Linked DNA regions of Macaca fascicularis. The protein of the gene in region 1 binds, or shares a complex with, the protein of each later gene. Links are inferred from orthologs where the notes say so. Each region holds a gene or a part of one and is shown in the gene's direction. Other genes may lie near its edges.

What was found.
Region 2: the proteins of EIF2B5 (region 1) and EIF2B4 are in contact, whole or in part, in a cryo-EM structure (PDB 7D46), measured with the Homo sapiens proteins. The link is inferred for Macaca fascicularis from reciprocal best matches to the Homo sapiens genes EIF2B5 and EIF2B4. Residues at the interface, in NP_003898.2 of Homo sapiens: Arg163, Lys294, Arg339, His340, Glu357; in NP_001029288.1 of Homo sapiens: Arg357, Tyr393, Pro396, Glu397, Lys466, Arg467, Glu469.

The regions. Positions count from the first base shown.
Region 1 is NC_088376.1:96,059,857-96,063,509, forward strand, and holds part of EIF2B5 (translation initiation factor eIF2B subunit epsilon), read left to right. Parts: intron 1-1,058; coding exon 1,059-1,204; intron 1,205-1,428; coding exon 1,429-1,570; exon of another isoform or gene 1,571-1,586; intron 1,587-1,691; coding exon 1,692-1,793; intron 1,794-1,870; exon of another isoform or gene 1,871-1,966; coding exon 1,967-2,074; exon of another isoform or gene 2,075-2,241; coding exon 2,242-2,332; exon of another isoform or gene 2,333-2,628; coding exon 2,629-2,752; exon of another isoform or gene 2,753-3,311; coding exon 3,312-3,437; exon of another isoform or gene 3,438-3,497; intron 3,498-3,653. UniProt on the Homo sapiens protein: Acts as a component of the translation initiation factor 2B (eIF2B) complex, which catalyzes the exchange of GDP for GTP on eukaryotic initiation factor 2 (eIF2) gamma subunit.
Region 2 is NC_088387.1:94,851,336-94,854,637, forward strand, and holds the end of EIF2B4 (translation initiation factor eIF2B subunit delta), read left to right. Parts: intron 1-86; coding exon 87-214; intron 215-363; coding exon 364-541; intron 542-2,240; coding exon 2,241-2,421; intron 2,422-2,538; coding exon 2,539-2,738; 3' UTR 2,739-2,786; downstream 2,787-3,302. UniProt on the Homo sapiens protein: Acts as a component of the translation initiation factor 2B (eIF2B) complex, which catalyzes the exchange of GDP for GTP on eukaryotic initiation factor 2 (eIF2) gamma subunit.

The DNA.
Region 1 (3,653 bases):
ACCTCAGGAAAGGAGGAAACAGGGATTTGAAAACAGTGATACCTTAATTTGTGGCCTGTGAGCCTCTCATTGGATGACTCTTCACATTCCAGGGTACCCTATAGTCACATTCAGGAGCAAGCAGATAATTAACATGCAGTAACAACATCTATTTAGCACATTACAGTTTACAAAGGGCTTTTATATACATTGTTTCATTAATCCTCATAATTTACAAATAAACAGGCTCAACAAGATTTTCTTGCCCAAGGTCATTGGCAATAATGGTGGGACCTGAATCTGGGTTTTCTGATTGTAAGTCCAGTGTTCTTTTTAGTCTACCATAACTGCCTGGTTGGCCTCTTGGTAACTCATTTTGGTTGCAGTAATGTGATGCTTCTAATAGTACTTCCCCTTTCCAAGAACAACAGTAAGGCTCAGATTCTAGGGGCTGAGTGTGGTGGCTCATGCTTATAATCCCAGCCATGGTGGGAAGATCGCTTGAGCCCAGGAGTTCAAGACCAGCCTGGGCAACATGGCGACACCCCTTCTCTGCAAATGATACAAAAATTAGCCAGGCGTGATGGCACGTGCCTGTAGTCTCAGCTCTCCGGGAGGCTGAGGCAGGAGGATTACCTGAGCCCAGAGGTCGAGGGTGCAGTGAGTCATGATCATACTACTGCACTCCAACCTGGGTGACAGAGTGAGACCATGTCTCAAAAGAAAAAAAAGACTTGGATTCTAAAATGTACCAGAAGAGGTGGAATTATTTGGTTCTGCTTGTAGACATAGATATGATTCTAATAAGGTTTTTTAGTTCAGAGGGTCCCCAGAAATCCTGAAGGTTCTCGGGTTCTTAAGCACTGTATATAGTCTATAACTGTTGTAAACTTGATGAAGTATCTTCTCTTCTCAGGCTTGGGCTTAGAGGGTGAGTGGGTGTTTCTGGTGACTTGTGGGATGGGGAATGAGAGTTAGGTGGGAGCTGTGCTGGTGTCAGTCAGCCCTGTCCTTTATGAAGGGCTCTGCTCTGCAGTTGGTACCCTTAGTGACCCAGAGGCCTTCCCATCCTGAGCCAGGTGATAACGTGGTGCTGGACCAGACCTACCTGTGGCAGGGTGTTCGAGTGGCTACTGGAGCACAGATCCATCAGTCTCTGCTTTGTGACAATGCTGAGGTCAAGGAACGAGTGACACTGAAACCACGCTGTGTCCTCACTTCCCAGGTAAGACCTGATGTGTACTGTGCACGGGCCCCAAATTGAGTGGCAGTCACATTGAGCCAGAAGGGACATTATTTCCACCCATAATCCTGTCTGAGTTGAGAGAACAAATCCGGTGGTTTCATTTACCGTCTAGGCTTAGTTTAAAAAAAAAGAAAAAAGTTGCTCTCATTATCAGGATGCGCTTTTCCTCCACACACTAATGGTTCTGTGTTTTTTTCCCCTAGGTGGTTGTGGGCCCAAATATCATGCTGCCTGAGGGCTCGGTAATCTCTTTGCACCCTCCAGATGCAGAGGAAGATGAAGATGATGGGGAGTTCAGTGATGATTCTGGGACTGACCAAGAAAAGGAGAAAGTGAAGATGAAAGGTGTGAGATTCGACAGGTGTGGGGCATCTGTGTGTCTCGCTGCCTCATAGAAGAACCAGTGTTTCCTCCTGGAGGGATTAGTGTTTCCGCTGGGCCCTCTATAGATCATTGCCTTTTCCAGGTTACAATCCAGCAGAAGTAGGAGTTGCTGGCAAGGGCTACCTCTGGAAAGCTGCAGGCATGAACATAGAGGAAGAGGAGGAACTGCAGCAGAATCTGTGGGGTGAGCTAGGCCTGATGCCTGCCCTCCTACTGAATCGGAATATTTTGAAGGATAATGAATACTTCAGAGTCGCATTACTTATTCACTCCTTTATTTATGCAGACAGGGCAGGTATATTGCTCTCTGTCTATGGCTCTTTTTTTTCTTTTTCCTCACCCATTATGGCTTCTCAGGACTCAAGATCAACATGGAAGAAGAGAGTGAAAGTGAAAGTGAGCAAAGTATGGATTCTGAGGAGCCGGACAGCCGGGGAGGCTCCCCTCAGATGGATGACATCAAAGGTGAGTGGCCAGGGGAGAAATGCGCTGGACTGGTTTATTCTCTGCCTGGATCAACTAGCCAGAGGCTTGTGTTCCTCAGAAAGGGTTTGGTATCAAGTCAAGACTGGATGACTTAGAGCATTTTGGAATGATGTTGGCCCATGAACTTACTCTTGCTTTGATTCCAGTGTTCCAGAATGAAGTTCTAGGAACACTACAGCGGGGCAAAGAGGAGAACATTTCTTGTGACAATCTCGTCCTGGAAATCAATTCTCTCAAGTAAGAGCAGCCCCTCCCTGTTCTCCTCGGGGTGATCCCAGGAAAGTAGAGGCTTTCTCGTAAGCGTTTCTTCTCCAAATAGGAATGTATTCCTTTGAAATCCCAAATGGAAAGACCAGTAGTATTTGGAGCAAGGAGAGCACTATTAAGTTCTAGCCTCAGCATAGACTTTCTCCTTCCTAAACCCTCCCCTTCCATATTCCATCCAAATTCCTCTTCAATGTCTGTCAGTGTCATAGTTCTAAGCCTGCTGAAAGGCCAGTGAAGGCCCTGGTGTCACCCCAGTCTCCCCACAGGTATGCCTATAACATAAGTCTAAAGGAGGTGATGCAGGTACTGAGCCACGTGGTCCTGGAGTTCCCCCTGCAACAGATGGATTCCCCACTTGACTCAAGCCGCTACTGTGCCCTGCTGCTTCCTGTGAGCAAAAATCGGAGCTGAGTACAAGGGATTGGGTAGAGGCAGATACACATCCTTGCTGTACTTGACTTTAAAGGAAATCAGGAGTAGACTAGCCTGTTATATTGGGTATATGACTTCTGGTTCCTTTCTCCTTGCCTCTGGAAGCTGGTTGGGCTCTAGAGCAGCCTTGGCTGGTTCAGAGGGGTCAGGTTGAGTTCAATACTGACTGGCCTTTGAGACTCCAGGATTCATACCATCCTAGGCCCCCAAAGGTATACTCAGAATGGACCTTTACATTCAGACTCTATGGCAGCAATTTGACCCAACACAAGATCAGCCTCTGGGGTGGGAATAGGTATTTTGAGGCAGCCTATAGCATCTGATCCCCTTTCACCTTCCCTAAGGAATCTGTTTTTCCCAAACCCTGTCAACAACTCCCAAGTCCCTCCGACATAATTCCACAGAACCTGTATCATCTCCCTCTTGTCCACCCATGTCATCAATATGGATTTGCTTGGATGTCCAGGTACAGGTGAATGCTCAGGAATATATTGCAGCTCCCTTCTTTCTTCCATAGCTGCTCAAGGCCTGGAGCCCTGTTTTTAGGAACTACATAAAGCGTGCAGCCGACCACTTGGAAGCGTTAGCAGCCATTGAGGACTTCTTCCTAGAGCATGAAGCTCTTGGTATTTCCATGGCCAAGGTGAATATGACCTCAAGCCCCATTCTTCTGCACTTGCTTTCAAATGAGGGTTTGTGACCACTGTGGGAGACATAAAATAGAAGCTAATGTGAATCCAGTATGGACCATCCACTCCCCCAATATCATGCTTATTGCTAGAATAGTACAGCTTGGAGCCGGGCTAGTAAGGTAGCCATCTGGGAGGTGGTCTGGAAATGTGCAAAGCTCTCCTCAGCA
Region 2 (3,302 bases), on another chromosome or scaffold:
TCATACACATATTCAAGCACCTGGCATGATCATCAGTGGGATAAAAGTGTCCATTTCTTGTTCACTAAGGATTTTGCTCCATTTAGGCCAAGTCAGAACTTCAAGCAGCCATTGACCGGTATGTGAAAGAGAAGATTGTGCTTGCAGCTCAGGCAATTTCACGCTTTGCTTACCAGAAGATCAGTAATGGAGATGTGATCCTGGTATATGGATGGTATGGTCCAGACCCTGTGACTGAGCAAACTGGGGAGTTGGAATGATCTGAAGAAGGGACTACCCATTTGCCTTTGGGAATAAGTTGGGAATAAGTTAGTCATCAGTTACTGACATTTATAACTGAATCCTCCTCTTCATTCCCTCTAGCTCATCTCTGGTATCACGAATTCTTCAGGAGGCTTGGACAGAGGGCCGGCGATTTCGGGTGGTAGTGGTGGACAGCCGGCCACGGCTGGAAGGAAGGCACACGCTACATTCTCTAGTCCGTGCTGGTGTCCCAGCCTCCTACCTGCTGATTCCTGCAGCCTCCTATGTGCTCCCAGAGGTGAGTACAGAGGAAAAGGACTCCAAAGTTGGAGGTAAAAAAGTGTAGTAGTATAGATGTAATCTCACCTTCTCAAAGTTAGTTTTGTTTTTGTTTTGAGATAAGGATGGAGTGCAGTGGCGTGATCACAGCTCACTGCAGTCTTGACCTCCTGGGCTCAGGTGATCTTCCCACCTGCGCCTCTGAGTAGCTGGGACTACTGGTGTGCACCACCACGCCCAGCTAGTTTTTATTCTTCTTGTAGGGATGGGATATTGCTATGTTGCCCAGGCTGGAACTCCTGGGCTCAAGCAATTCCCCTGTCTCGGCCTCCCAAAGTACTGGGATTATAGGCATGAGCCACTGTGCCCAGCCACAATTATTTAAAAGTATTAGAATTATATAGTCCTGGCTTGGCGCCATGGCTCACGCCTGCAATCTCAGCACTTTGGGGGTCCAACGCAGGAGGATCACTTGAGCCCAGGAGTTCAAGACCAGCCTGCTCAACATAATGAGACCCTGTCTCCACACACACATACACACACAAACATACAAAATTAGCTGGGCATGGTGCATGCGCATGTAGTTCCAGCTACTTAGGAGGCTGAGATGGGAGGATTGCTTGAGCCCGGGAACTGCAGTGAGCTGTGATTGCACCACTGCACTCCAGCCTGGGCGACAGAGTGAAACCCTGTGTCAAGACAAAAAATTACATAGCCCTGTTTATATTTAATTGGAAAAACACTGACAGTATGTTACAGCAGTCTAGCTATTGCAAAAACATTACATTAAACTAGCAACCAGGAAGAGGGAACAAGACAAAAGTAACTTCAAAGTTTAGTTTTCCTGTGGGAGATTTGATGGGTCAGTGGTCAGGTGTTTTTACAGAGGAAGAGCCATCATTAAGATGTTTTCACAGAAGAAAAGCCATGATTAAGATTTATTACTTGCCAGGCCCAGTGGGTCACGCCTGTAATCCTATCTCTTTGGGAGTCCGAGGCAGGCAAATCATCTGAGGCTGGGAGTTTGAGACCAGCCTGACCAACGTGGAGAAACCCCGTCTCTACTGAAAAAACAAAAAATCAGCTGGGAGTGGTGGTGTGTGCCTGTAATCCCAGCTACTGTGGAGGCTGAGGCAGGAGAATCACTTGAACCCAGGAGGCGGAGGTTGTGGTGAGCCGAGATCGTGCCACTGCACTCCAGCCTGGGCAACAAGAGTGAAACTTGGTCTCAAAAAACAAAAAGATTTATTACTTGTCTCTTTGTTTTTGTTTCCTTCCCTTCTTTTCACAGGTGTTGAGATTTTTTTTTTTTTTTTTTTTTTGTGATGGCATCTTGCTCTGTCGCCCAGGCTGGAGTGCAGTGGCGCGATCTCGGCTCACTGCAAGCTCCGCCTCCCGGGTTTATGCCATTCTCCCACCTCAGCCTCCCGAGTAACTGGGACTACAGGCGCCTGCCACCTCGCCCAGCTAGTTTTTTGTATTTTTTTAGTAGAGACGGGGTTTCACCGTGTTAGCCAGGATGGTCTCGATCTCCTGACCTCGTGATCCACCGTCTCAGTCTCCCAAAGTGCTGGGATTACAGGCTTGAGCCACCGCGCCCGGCCATGTTGAGATTTATTACTTGTCTTAATGTTGCTGTCCTGTAAGTAGGGGACTTTATTCTGCATTGATACAACAATGACATTTTTTCTCTTCCCCTTCTCCTGTGAAACAAACAGGTTTCCAAGGTGCTATTGGGAGCTCATGCACTCTTGGCCAACGGGTCTGTGATGTCACGGGTAGGGACAGCACAGTTAGCCCTGGTGGCTCGAGCCCATAATGTACCAGTGCTGGTTTGCTGTGAAACATACAAGTTCTGTGAGCGTGTGCAGACTGATGCCTTTGTCTCTAATGAGCTAGGTAAGTAGGGCAAAAGAGAAGCCTCCAGCTACCTGTGAAGACTTGAGAGTGAGAGAGGGGCAGATAAACTAGAAATTCTTTTCTAAAAGAACGTAATGGGTACACCTTCCATTGCAGATGACCCTGATGATCTGCAGTGTAAACGGGGAGAACATGTCGCACTGGCTAACTGGCAGAACCACGCGTCCCTACGGTTGTTGAATCTAGTCTATGATGTGACTCCCCCAGAGCTTGTGGATCTGGTGATCACAGAGCTGGGGATGATCCCTTGCAGTTCTGTACCTGTTGTTCTACGAGTCAAGAGCAGTGACCAGTGAGGGGGAAAACACAGGGTTAATAAATGCCATAGTCCCTACCTTCAGCAACTCTGCTGCCTTTGTTTCTCTTTTAGCATCTCCACCTCTTAAGTTAGGAGTCCAGACTCCACAACCCCTTTTATCACCTGCTACTAACCTCAGACCTTTGTGAAGACCTGCTCAGGTAACTAGCTCCATGCCAGTGCATTGGGGCTAACCTGAAGGTCCGTATAAAGAACCAAAACTACCCAAATCAATCATTCACTGAGCATCTACATGCCAGATAGTAAACTAGGTATGAGGAGGAATATGAGAACAAATAGTCCTGGGCTGGGTGCAGTGACTCATTCCTGTAATCTCAGCATTTTGGGAGGCTAAGGCAGGGGGATTGTTTGAACCCAGAGGTTTGAGACCAGCCTGGGCAACATAGCAATCCTGTCTCTGCAAAAAATAAAAATTAGCTGGGCATGGTTGTGCTCATCTGTTGTCCCAGCTACTCAGGAGGCTGAAGCAGGAGGATTGCTTGAGCCCAAGAGGTAGAGGCTGCAGTAAGCCATGATCGTACCACTGAACTCCAGCCTGGGT